3 linked regions of the Cricetulus griseus genome follow. The protein of the gene in region 2 interacts with the protein of the main gene of each other region in a biochemical or structural test. Links are inferred from orthologs where the notes say so. Each region holds a gene or a part of one and is shown on either strand. Other genes may lie near its edges.

The links.
Region 1: the proteins of Cask (region 2) and Fchsd2 form a complex in vitro, tested with the Homo sapiens proteins (2 studies listed by BioGRID and IntAct, with this or other methods). The link is inferred for Cricetulus griseus from reciprocal best matches to the Homo sapiens genes CASK and FCHSD2.
Region 3: the proteins of Cask (region 2) and Prkn form a complex in vitro, tested with the Homo sapiens proteins (2 studies listed by BioGRID and IntAct, with this or other methods). The link is inferred for Cricetulus griseus from reciprocal best matches to the Homo sapiens genes CASK and PRKN.

The regions. Positions count from the first base shown.
Region 1 is NC_048596.1:98,265,128-98,268,792, forward strand, and holds part of Fchsd2 (F-BAR and double SH3 domains protein 2), read right to left. Parts: intron 3,649-3,665; coding exon 3,532-3,648; intron 1,427-3,531; coding exon 1,322-1,426; intron 1-1,321. UniProt on the Homo sapiens protein: Adapter protein that plays a role in endocytosis via clathrin-coated pits. Contributes to the internalization of cell surface receptors, such as integrin ITGB1 and transferrin receptor.
Region 2 is NC_048604.1:119,083,044-119,085,413, forward strand, and holds the end of Cask (peripheral plasma membrane protein CASK), read right to left. Parts: intron 1,973-2,370; coding exon 1,796-1,972; 3' UTR 589-1,795; downstream 1-588. UniProt on the Homo sapiens protein: Multidomain scaffolding Mg(2+)-independent protein kinase that catalyzes the phosphotransfer from ATP to proteins such as NRXN1, and plays a role in synaptic transmembrane protein anchoring and ion channel trafficking.
Region 3 is NC_048595.1:288,897,076-288,899,415, reverse strand, and holds the end of Prkn (E3 ubiquitin-protein ligase parkin), read left to right. Parts: intron 1-504; coding exon 505-617; 3' UTR 618-1,821; downstream 1,822-2,340. UniProt on the Homo sapiens protein: Functions within a multiprotein E3 ubiquitin ligase complex, catalyzing the covalent attachment of ubiquitin moieties onto substrate proteins. Substrates include SYT11 and VDAC1.

The sequences.
Region 1 (3,665 bases), on a different chromosome or scaffold from region 2:
TATTATTATTATTTTGAGTCAAAGCTCACTCTGTATCCCTAGCTGGTCTGGAACTCAGCATGAAGACCAGGCTGGCCCTAAATTCAAAGATATTTGCCTCCCTCTGCTTCCTGAGTACTGGGTTAAAGGAAAGTCCTCCACACACATAACATTATTTTTACCACTATTTTTTGAGAAAAGGCCTCTCACTGAACCTAGAAGCTCACGGATCCAGCTAGCATGACTGTCTCCACCTCCCCAGTGCTGGTATCAAATGGGCACCGGGGATAGAACTCAGGTCCTCATGCTTGCATGGCAAGCACTTTACTAACTGAGCCATCTCTCCAGTCCTCATCTAGAATCTTTTTTCTACTTACAATGCTGTATTATGTTCCCTGGGGTATATATTTGGCCACCAAAAAGAAAACATTTCCTAATCTCAAAATCAAGTCTGCTTCCTTCCTATCTTCATCTTTTGGTTCAAATTTAGCCTGGTGGGTCTGCATGACACACATTTGTGTTGCTTCCTTTGCTGTGACTCATATATTATTCCCAGGCTGCTACTCAACTTAAATTCCACCTCTGATCTGACAGAATTCCTCTGATTCTGTGTGGCCCACTCCTGTTCCATATCCCTAGCTTTTTGCCTCCTTAACAAAAACATAATCTGGTTGGGCCTTTTAAAAAATCATTATTTTCTTCATTTGTTTTCAACATGTGTGCATAGGTCCTTAGTGAATTGGCTCTAATCACAATTAGTTTATCTCCTTTCCAAAAGCACATTTTCTTACTGATAACCTGACTTTAATCATCTCAAACTGCCAAAGTACACCCTATGTAAATTACCACTTCACTGCTTCTCATTTTAACTACCCCCTTCTAGGGGACAGAGAATCATTATGGCAACTTTTTTTTTTTTTTTTTTTTTTTTTTGGTGGGAGAGATTTCATAGCTATACAGCCCCTAAAAAGGTCTCATGACTCAAAAAAAACTGAAAATCTACAATTACGTGTTTTTCATTCCCTTCCTTCTTAGACAAATCTTTGCTTGTTCCCCTGGATTAGGGAACCTGCCATATGGAGACATTCATCTGAACATACATGTATCAGTTTTTCTACCATTAATATAACTGACTTAATATTCTGTGAAAACTTTAAAATCAACATCTGCATTGTGACATTCCTTTTGCTGTTTACTGTTTCATGACTATGGGTTCTTCACAGTAGGTTTAGAGTTTTTGTTTTAAGTGCTATAGGTACACAAAAATACTGTGGACACAGAGATTGTTCATCGTCTTCAACTTAAAATACCCATGTAGAAACTCAGTTTCAAAGGTGCTTACCTCTGCTTTACGTATATTTTCTCTAGCTTCATCTATTTTCTGTTCCAGCTCTGCTCGACTTTGTTCTGATACAGCAACTCCATGACATTCCAGATCATTCAGAACCTATCAAAGAAAATAAAGATGACTGTTTTTGTGTATTCTTTCCTTAAGTATTTAGGTAATTCCAAAGGGTTCAGGGGCTAAAGTCATGACTCATTTTTAAACTTTTACTTTTTAACTAATTTTTAAAAACTGAAAGTTGTAAAACAGAGGAGTTACTGTCTTAGCTTCCTCTGATAGTAACAACTTATAAAACCATTCAATAACAGCCCTTCTTCTGGAGATGCATTTCAAGATCTCAGTGAGTACCCTAAACCACAGCAGTATGGAACTTTCTATTTACTAGGGTTTCCAATGTGTCCTGCAGTATGAACATAGCACCATAGTTGACCTGCCCTTCTGTGGTTCATAACAAGCTGTTACCTCCTGAGTACTGGACTTGTATGATAAACAATTAACTGAAATTTGGGGTTACTTGAACACTAGCACTGTGATACTGAGGTATGTCATCTGGTAACAGATGGAGATGAAGTACCTCACAGGTGAGTAGAGTTGACAATGTGGATATGCTGGATAAAGTAATCTACAACCCTAGTGGGATAGAGTAGACTTTATTATGCTACAGAATGGTGGGCATTTAAAAACTCCTTAAGTGTTTGTTCATCCATTTCCCATTTAATATTTCTGGACCTAAGGGAACTGAAGCCATGATGGAAAGTAAAAGAGTAAATAAGGGCACAAAATCAAGAAACTGACATATAATCTGTACACCTTAATTTTTAATTTATGCTTTGAATTAAAAAAATGATGGATATGGAATATTTGTGTTGTTAAAATAGGGTCTTATGAAGCTCGGGCTAGTCTCAAATTCACTAGGTGGCTAGCCTGGAGTTCTGATCTTCCAGCTTCTACTTCTCTAGTTCTAGGACTACAAGGTTTGCACAGTCACACCTGCCTGATGAGTCAGTATTCACAATGTAAAACAACACAAAATTTTCATTCTTGCACAATGAATCCATCACATATTCTCTACACTAAGATATTACTACCCCATCAATTGTATTTTTCCAAATCGTTTTTATGAAAATCTTGTTTGTGGGGAGAAAAAATGATATATCATTCCCTCAATGTTTGTACCAAACCTTGTCATGTTTGCAGAGACTCATTTTCCTTAAAGTACATGCCCAACAGCTTAATGATAAATACTTACACTTAGAGCACTGCTATTAAGATTTTCAAATTTCTCAACACTGCAAACAGAACTACACAAGGAACCTGAGTAATGACTCTTTGAGCACACTGGAGTATTTATTTGAGATGAAAACATAAAAGTGGAATTTGTACATGTTGTTTGTTCACTGTTTTGCTGTACTGGTGATCAAATCAACTACCTTGGGCACAGTAAGCAGATGCTCTACTAGTGAACTTTATCTTGCACTTTTGTATTTTAATACTAATAGACATTGGCAAATTTCCCCTAAAAAGTTGTATATGTACAACCCTTCCCTGTATCCTAACCATATCCTAGCCAAACTTTAAATTTATGCTGACACAGAATTTTGAAAAATTTATTTCATTTTTATGACTTTATAGAAAGCACAGTTTCATGTGTGGCTGTCCATCTGTATTTCTATTTTTACTGAGTATGTATGTGTGTATGTAGGTCAGAGGAAGATGTTAGTTTGAGGCCAGCTTGGTCTAAATATAATGCATACCAGAAAAGCCAGATCTACGTCCAGTAGACCCTGTCTCAAACAAAAACAAAAACAAACAAACAAGCAAACAAAAAATCTTATGGGTTTTTCAAGGCAGGCAAGAGTTAAGAGCATAATGCTGATTGTTGAGAACATACAGGGAAAACATACATAGGATTCTTCACATTCAGAAAATTAAACTTGTTGGAGTTGGAGAGATGGCTCAGTGGGTAAGAGCATGGGCTGCTCTTCCAGAGATCCAGGTTCAATTTCCAGCACACACAAGGCAGCTCACAACCGTCTATAACTCTAGTTCCAGTGGATCCAATTCCCAGTGCTCTTTTCTGATCTCCATGGACATCAGGCACACACATAGTGCACAGGCAAACACAAATAAAAATAAAATTCAACTCCTTAAGTCTCTCTGAAATCTGATTTCAGTTGCATACAGTCATGGCGCTTTACCATACTCACCCGCTGATGATGAACAATATTTTTGTGCTCACGTGCCACACGTGTGGCCCATTTCCGAGCCTCCTTATTTAGACTGTGTTCCTCTGTGGTACCAGTTTCTGATTCTAACTGTCGACTCTACAACACAAGAGAGA
Region 2 (2,370 bases):
ATTGTCTACAAACAGAAACCAAATGGCATTGTGTACTAATAGCTGGGGAGGGTGGGATGTCGAGAATGGAGGAGGAGTATGAGCACAAGCATGCCTTTTCTGTTCAGTGCCCAAGAGGAGCCGTTCAGTCCAGAACTCGTTCTGCACATCCTGCCAAGGCACAAAGTGACAGAGGCCATCTAATCCACAAGCGATGAAAGTGATGGTATGTTTCCAAGGACCAAAGTCACATCAATGCCTTGTTCTCGAACATATGAAGGTGAACACTAGTGGCCTCTGGCAAAGAGTCTGAGGATCCCAGCCTGAACCTCCTCCAGTGATTCTCACATGGCAGGGGATGAGATGGTGAATGGTTCTAAAGCAACAAGGACAGGTGACTCCCCTGTGCCAAGGGATAGAGCAAGAAGAAGGAGAGACCACAGGTGGCCCTTCGAGTCAGATGTGCTCCAAGCTGTGCTCTGGCAGGCTGCTTTGTTACCCTGCCAACTGATACTCACTCTTGGGCCTTCAATGGGTCAGTGAGCATTCAGCAAATTTTAAAACTGAAAAAATTAGCAGCTTGGAGATCTGAACAAATCTGCAATGAAATGAAGGACCCAAAGGCATTTAATTATTGAACACATACAATGAAGTATATTTAAAAAAAATTGGTCAGACTGTCCTGTTAGTTATCATTTTAAAGGAATTTACAGAGCTGTTATAGATTATTCTTTTGGAATAATTCAGTTTATAGCAAATGCCTAAACTGGTTTCTTCATTGCACAGTATATTCTCTTTAAATGGGAGCTTAAAACAATTCCATACAGATTAAAAATCCGCATTTCTTTGCTTAATTAAAACGTTAATACTCTTAGACAACACAGATCTGAAATGGCGAAACCAGCAATACCCCCTCCCACCTTACAACAAATTAAATTGAGACAAAATTACAAACACATTTCACTACGTGATTATTATTAATAAAAATCAGTTTCTTTTTTTTTTCTGTTTTATAAAGTTGCCCGAAATGCAAGGGATGTGCATAGGTTTACAACTTAGTCATAATAGCAATTTATTCTTATTCCCCTGGGTGTGCCCCGTGAACGGAATGTACTTTGCTGTAATTACAGATTGTTTTGTCCAACACAGACACACCGACAGCATAAACGCTCGCGACTGTCCACATGCATTAAGAGTCAAGACCCAACTTCAAATCTCTAAAAGGTTTACAGGGTGCTTCAAAGAGACAGTATCACAGTATCTGGGTGTTACATAAAGGACTTCAAAAAAAGAGAGAGAAAAAAGGCTTTTAAAAATTTATGACTGTTTTGTAATCACTAGACTAATTATTTCAAATAAATAAAGGAAAGAAAGATATTCCAATCCATAAAATCAGACTCTAAAAAGAATGTAGTGTTCCACCCCCAGTCAAGGTAACAGAATCATTGTTTATTATTATTAAAATAGATTATAGAAAGCAGCATCTATTTTGTGCAGTTTTTAGGGGCCTTGGAAATAAAAAGCTATGATTTCCAAAAATATAACATTCCAAAGGATTGAATAATACATACATTTAAAGATACATTTTATTAAAGTTTAGGAGAACTGATTAAAAAAGATACTGTCTCTTTAAATTAGTGTGTAATTGTTTTTCTCCTCCTATCTATTCGGACATGACAATAATTATAAATGTAGGTCACACTACAACTAGGTAGTCTCTAGGGACCACGACCTGCTGACACAAGGCCGATAACAAAGAGGCTTTTCCACATAGGAGGCGGCTCCCAGTTTTATACTCAGATAGCCAGGGAGAAGCCTAATAGACCCAGGAGACTGGGACCCACTGTGGGGCTGTGCACACGAGCTCAACGGCTTCCTCCAGATGTCTGATTGTCTCATCAATTTCATTGTTGATAATTGTGAGATCGAAGTAGTGTGCATATGTTCTCTGTAAGACATCGGACTCCTTCTGCAGGCGCTGGAGAGATTCATCCTGCATAGGGTGGCATGGTAGAGGGGCAGGTACGGGAGAAAGGCAAAGCAAATATAAGAGCAAAGTCAGTTGTAGTCTTTTTCTTTCTACATTTCAGTTCATTCCAGGGTCAGAACAGGTCAAAACTAAACAATGGTGGGGCACGAGGCCAAGATGGCTGTGTGACAGGAGATGATGGTCCCTGTCCTATGATGAGAGGGTTATAGAAGTTGCACTGGCAACAGTGACTGGTTGACATGCAACAGGGGTCACTGTGAAAAATAGACAAAACCAACATTCCAGCAAACACATGGCCCCCACTCAGGCCCACCTGGGCCTATCCCCAGAGCCACCTATCCCCATGGGCTTCCAGTGGCTACAGTTCTTTCATCATTCCTGTAAGCCAGGGTGGAGCAGAG
Region 3 (2,340 bases), on a different chromosome or scaffold from region 2:
ATCATTAAGGAACACATTCTCTATTAAAAGTAATATGCTGTCACAACTCCTACTCACACATTTTGCTGAACCAAGTAACACTGAATAAATATGAAATAAATGAACTTTAGTGTATCATATATTAAATTATTAAATGTTTCATAGGTATTTGAAAATCATGAGTTTAATATGGCTCTATTTTTTTTTTTTAATGAAGAATCAGCAGGCTGTGAAACACACCATTTATGTCTGAGCACATGAGGGAAAGATGAGAAACTCAGACTGTGAATGGGATTTGTTCTGAAGGCAAAGAGCCCTTTGTCCATGTCATTATCTTATCTTTTCTCACTTGGGGGAGGGGGATGTTGCCTCCTGTTGTTTCTGATTATTCCCCCTGGCTCAGAGTCTCTCTGCCCTCCTTGCTGGGGATTTTTGGCTACAAGAGTCATTTCTGGGATGGCATGGGGGCAAGGGCTCCCCGTGTTTGCCACAAGCCCACAGCACCTGTATCCTTTGTACCCACAGGAGGATGTATGCACATGAAGTGTCCACAGCCTCAGTGCAGACTGGAGTGGTGCTGGAACTGCGGCTGTGAGTGGAACCGAGCCTGCATGGGTGATCACTGGTTCGACGTGTAGACAGACACTCAGGCACTGCCCCTGACCACACCTCCTTACGGGAAACACGTGGACTCCTGCCTTCTTAGCCATTTCGTCGTCTCTGGGCATATAAGCACATACAATGCACACGCACAAACACAGACTGCAAATTACAGACTCGGCCACTAGATCCTTTCCACAGGCACCCACGGAAGCCAGCAGCACCCACTAGGCACCCAGTGAGAGGCACTTTCGGGCCTCTGGCATATGCAACTATCCAACACTGGGAAGAGAGTGTAGCCCCTTGTTTTGGATTTCTCATCCCAGCAGGAATCCAGCCCTAGGGAGGGCTTTTCCAGGTTTAATTTCCCGACTTCACCTTCACTAAATCCATGTAGAAGCCTTAGGCGAAGCCACAGCTCTCCAAGGCTGTTGCCACGCTCTGTGTAAATTAGACTGCCGTGGAATCTCAAGAGCACACTCGAGATGTGAGGGACAGTGTTCTTACTCAGCAATCACCTATTCCCAGGGGGCCCTCCCCGGCAATAGTCAAAAATATTTGTTTATCCCCAAGAATCCTATCTTTATAAATGGTGCTGATGAGATGACAGCTCGGCGGCATACAAATCAACTTATCAACCAAGTGAGAAACTGGAAAACATAATTTGAATGCAGACTGTTTAAATTACAGTGAGGGCATCAAAGTGGAACCTACTTCCACTCGCTTAATTACCTGCAACTTTAGAAAGAAATTACTCTTTTTTTCCTGAAATTATTGCAAAGTCTGGAATTTGGTTTGAAGTATTCATATTGCAGCCTGGAAGTTTAGCCCATGCATTTGTCTTCACTGTGAACTTAATAGAAAAAGTGCCTATAAAGGGCATGTTTTTAGAAACAATCCCATGATGCTATTCCAACGCTAACAGCAGTGCAGGCCGGGTTTATATTTATGGAATATTTATAGAAGCGGCATTTCTAGATCAGCCACATGAGAACATGCCTGACCCTCCATCAGAAAGGGAGACACCTCTGTGTACTTACCCCCTAAGTCCCAGGGAGTCCCATGCACCCAGTGGTCCTACAGGCAGAACCTTTTGCGAAGGACAATAAACACACTAGAATATTCCTTAGGTAAATACACATCACATTTGAATGTTAAGTTTTCAAGATTTTATTTTTTCCTGTTGTGTTTCGTTTGGTTTGGTTTGTGAGGCACTCATAACACATAAAGCTGTTTCCACTAGGTACTGTGAGATGCAGTTTCTACTGCACCCTGTGCACAGGGGTGAGGCGTGGTCTCTGCCTTTCCCTCTCATTTGATTTTCTGACTTCTCAGGAGGCTGAGCTGGCAGCTGAGGGTCTCACTGGCCCCTGAGGCCCCTTGGGACTTAAGAGGCCTGAACCTTCTGAAATCAATAAGTAGATACAACCAACAGAATCCGATGCTGGTGGGAGAAGAGGCAGTGACCTCAGAATTTTCAGGTCATATCCCAAGAGCACCTGCTCCCCCACCCCAAGCAGCCTCACCCAGAACACTCCCCAGGAGCAGGCTTCCCTCCCCTTCCTCAGAGACACAGTACTGGAACAAGGCAGTAGTGTGAGAGGGGGCCACACAACATGACTTATCACCAACTGCTAGAAAATCCATCCTCTCCTTCATAATCCAGGGCTGCCAGACCCAAGTCCAGAAGCCAAAGATCAGATGGAAACGATGCTATGGTATCTTGTAGTGTGAGGCGAGGAGAGCAGACCTAAGCCCATG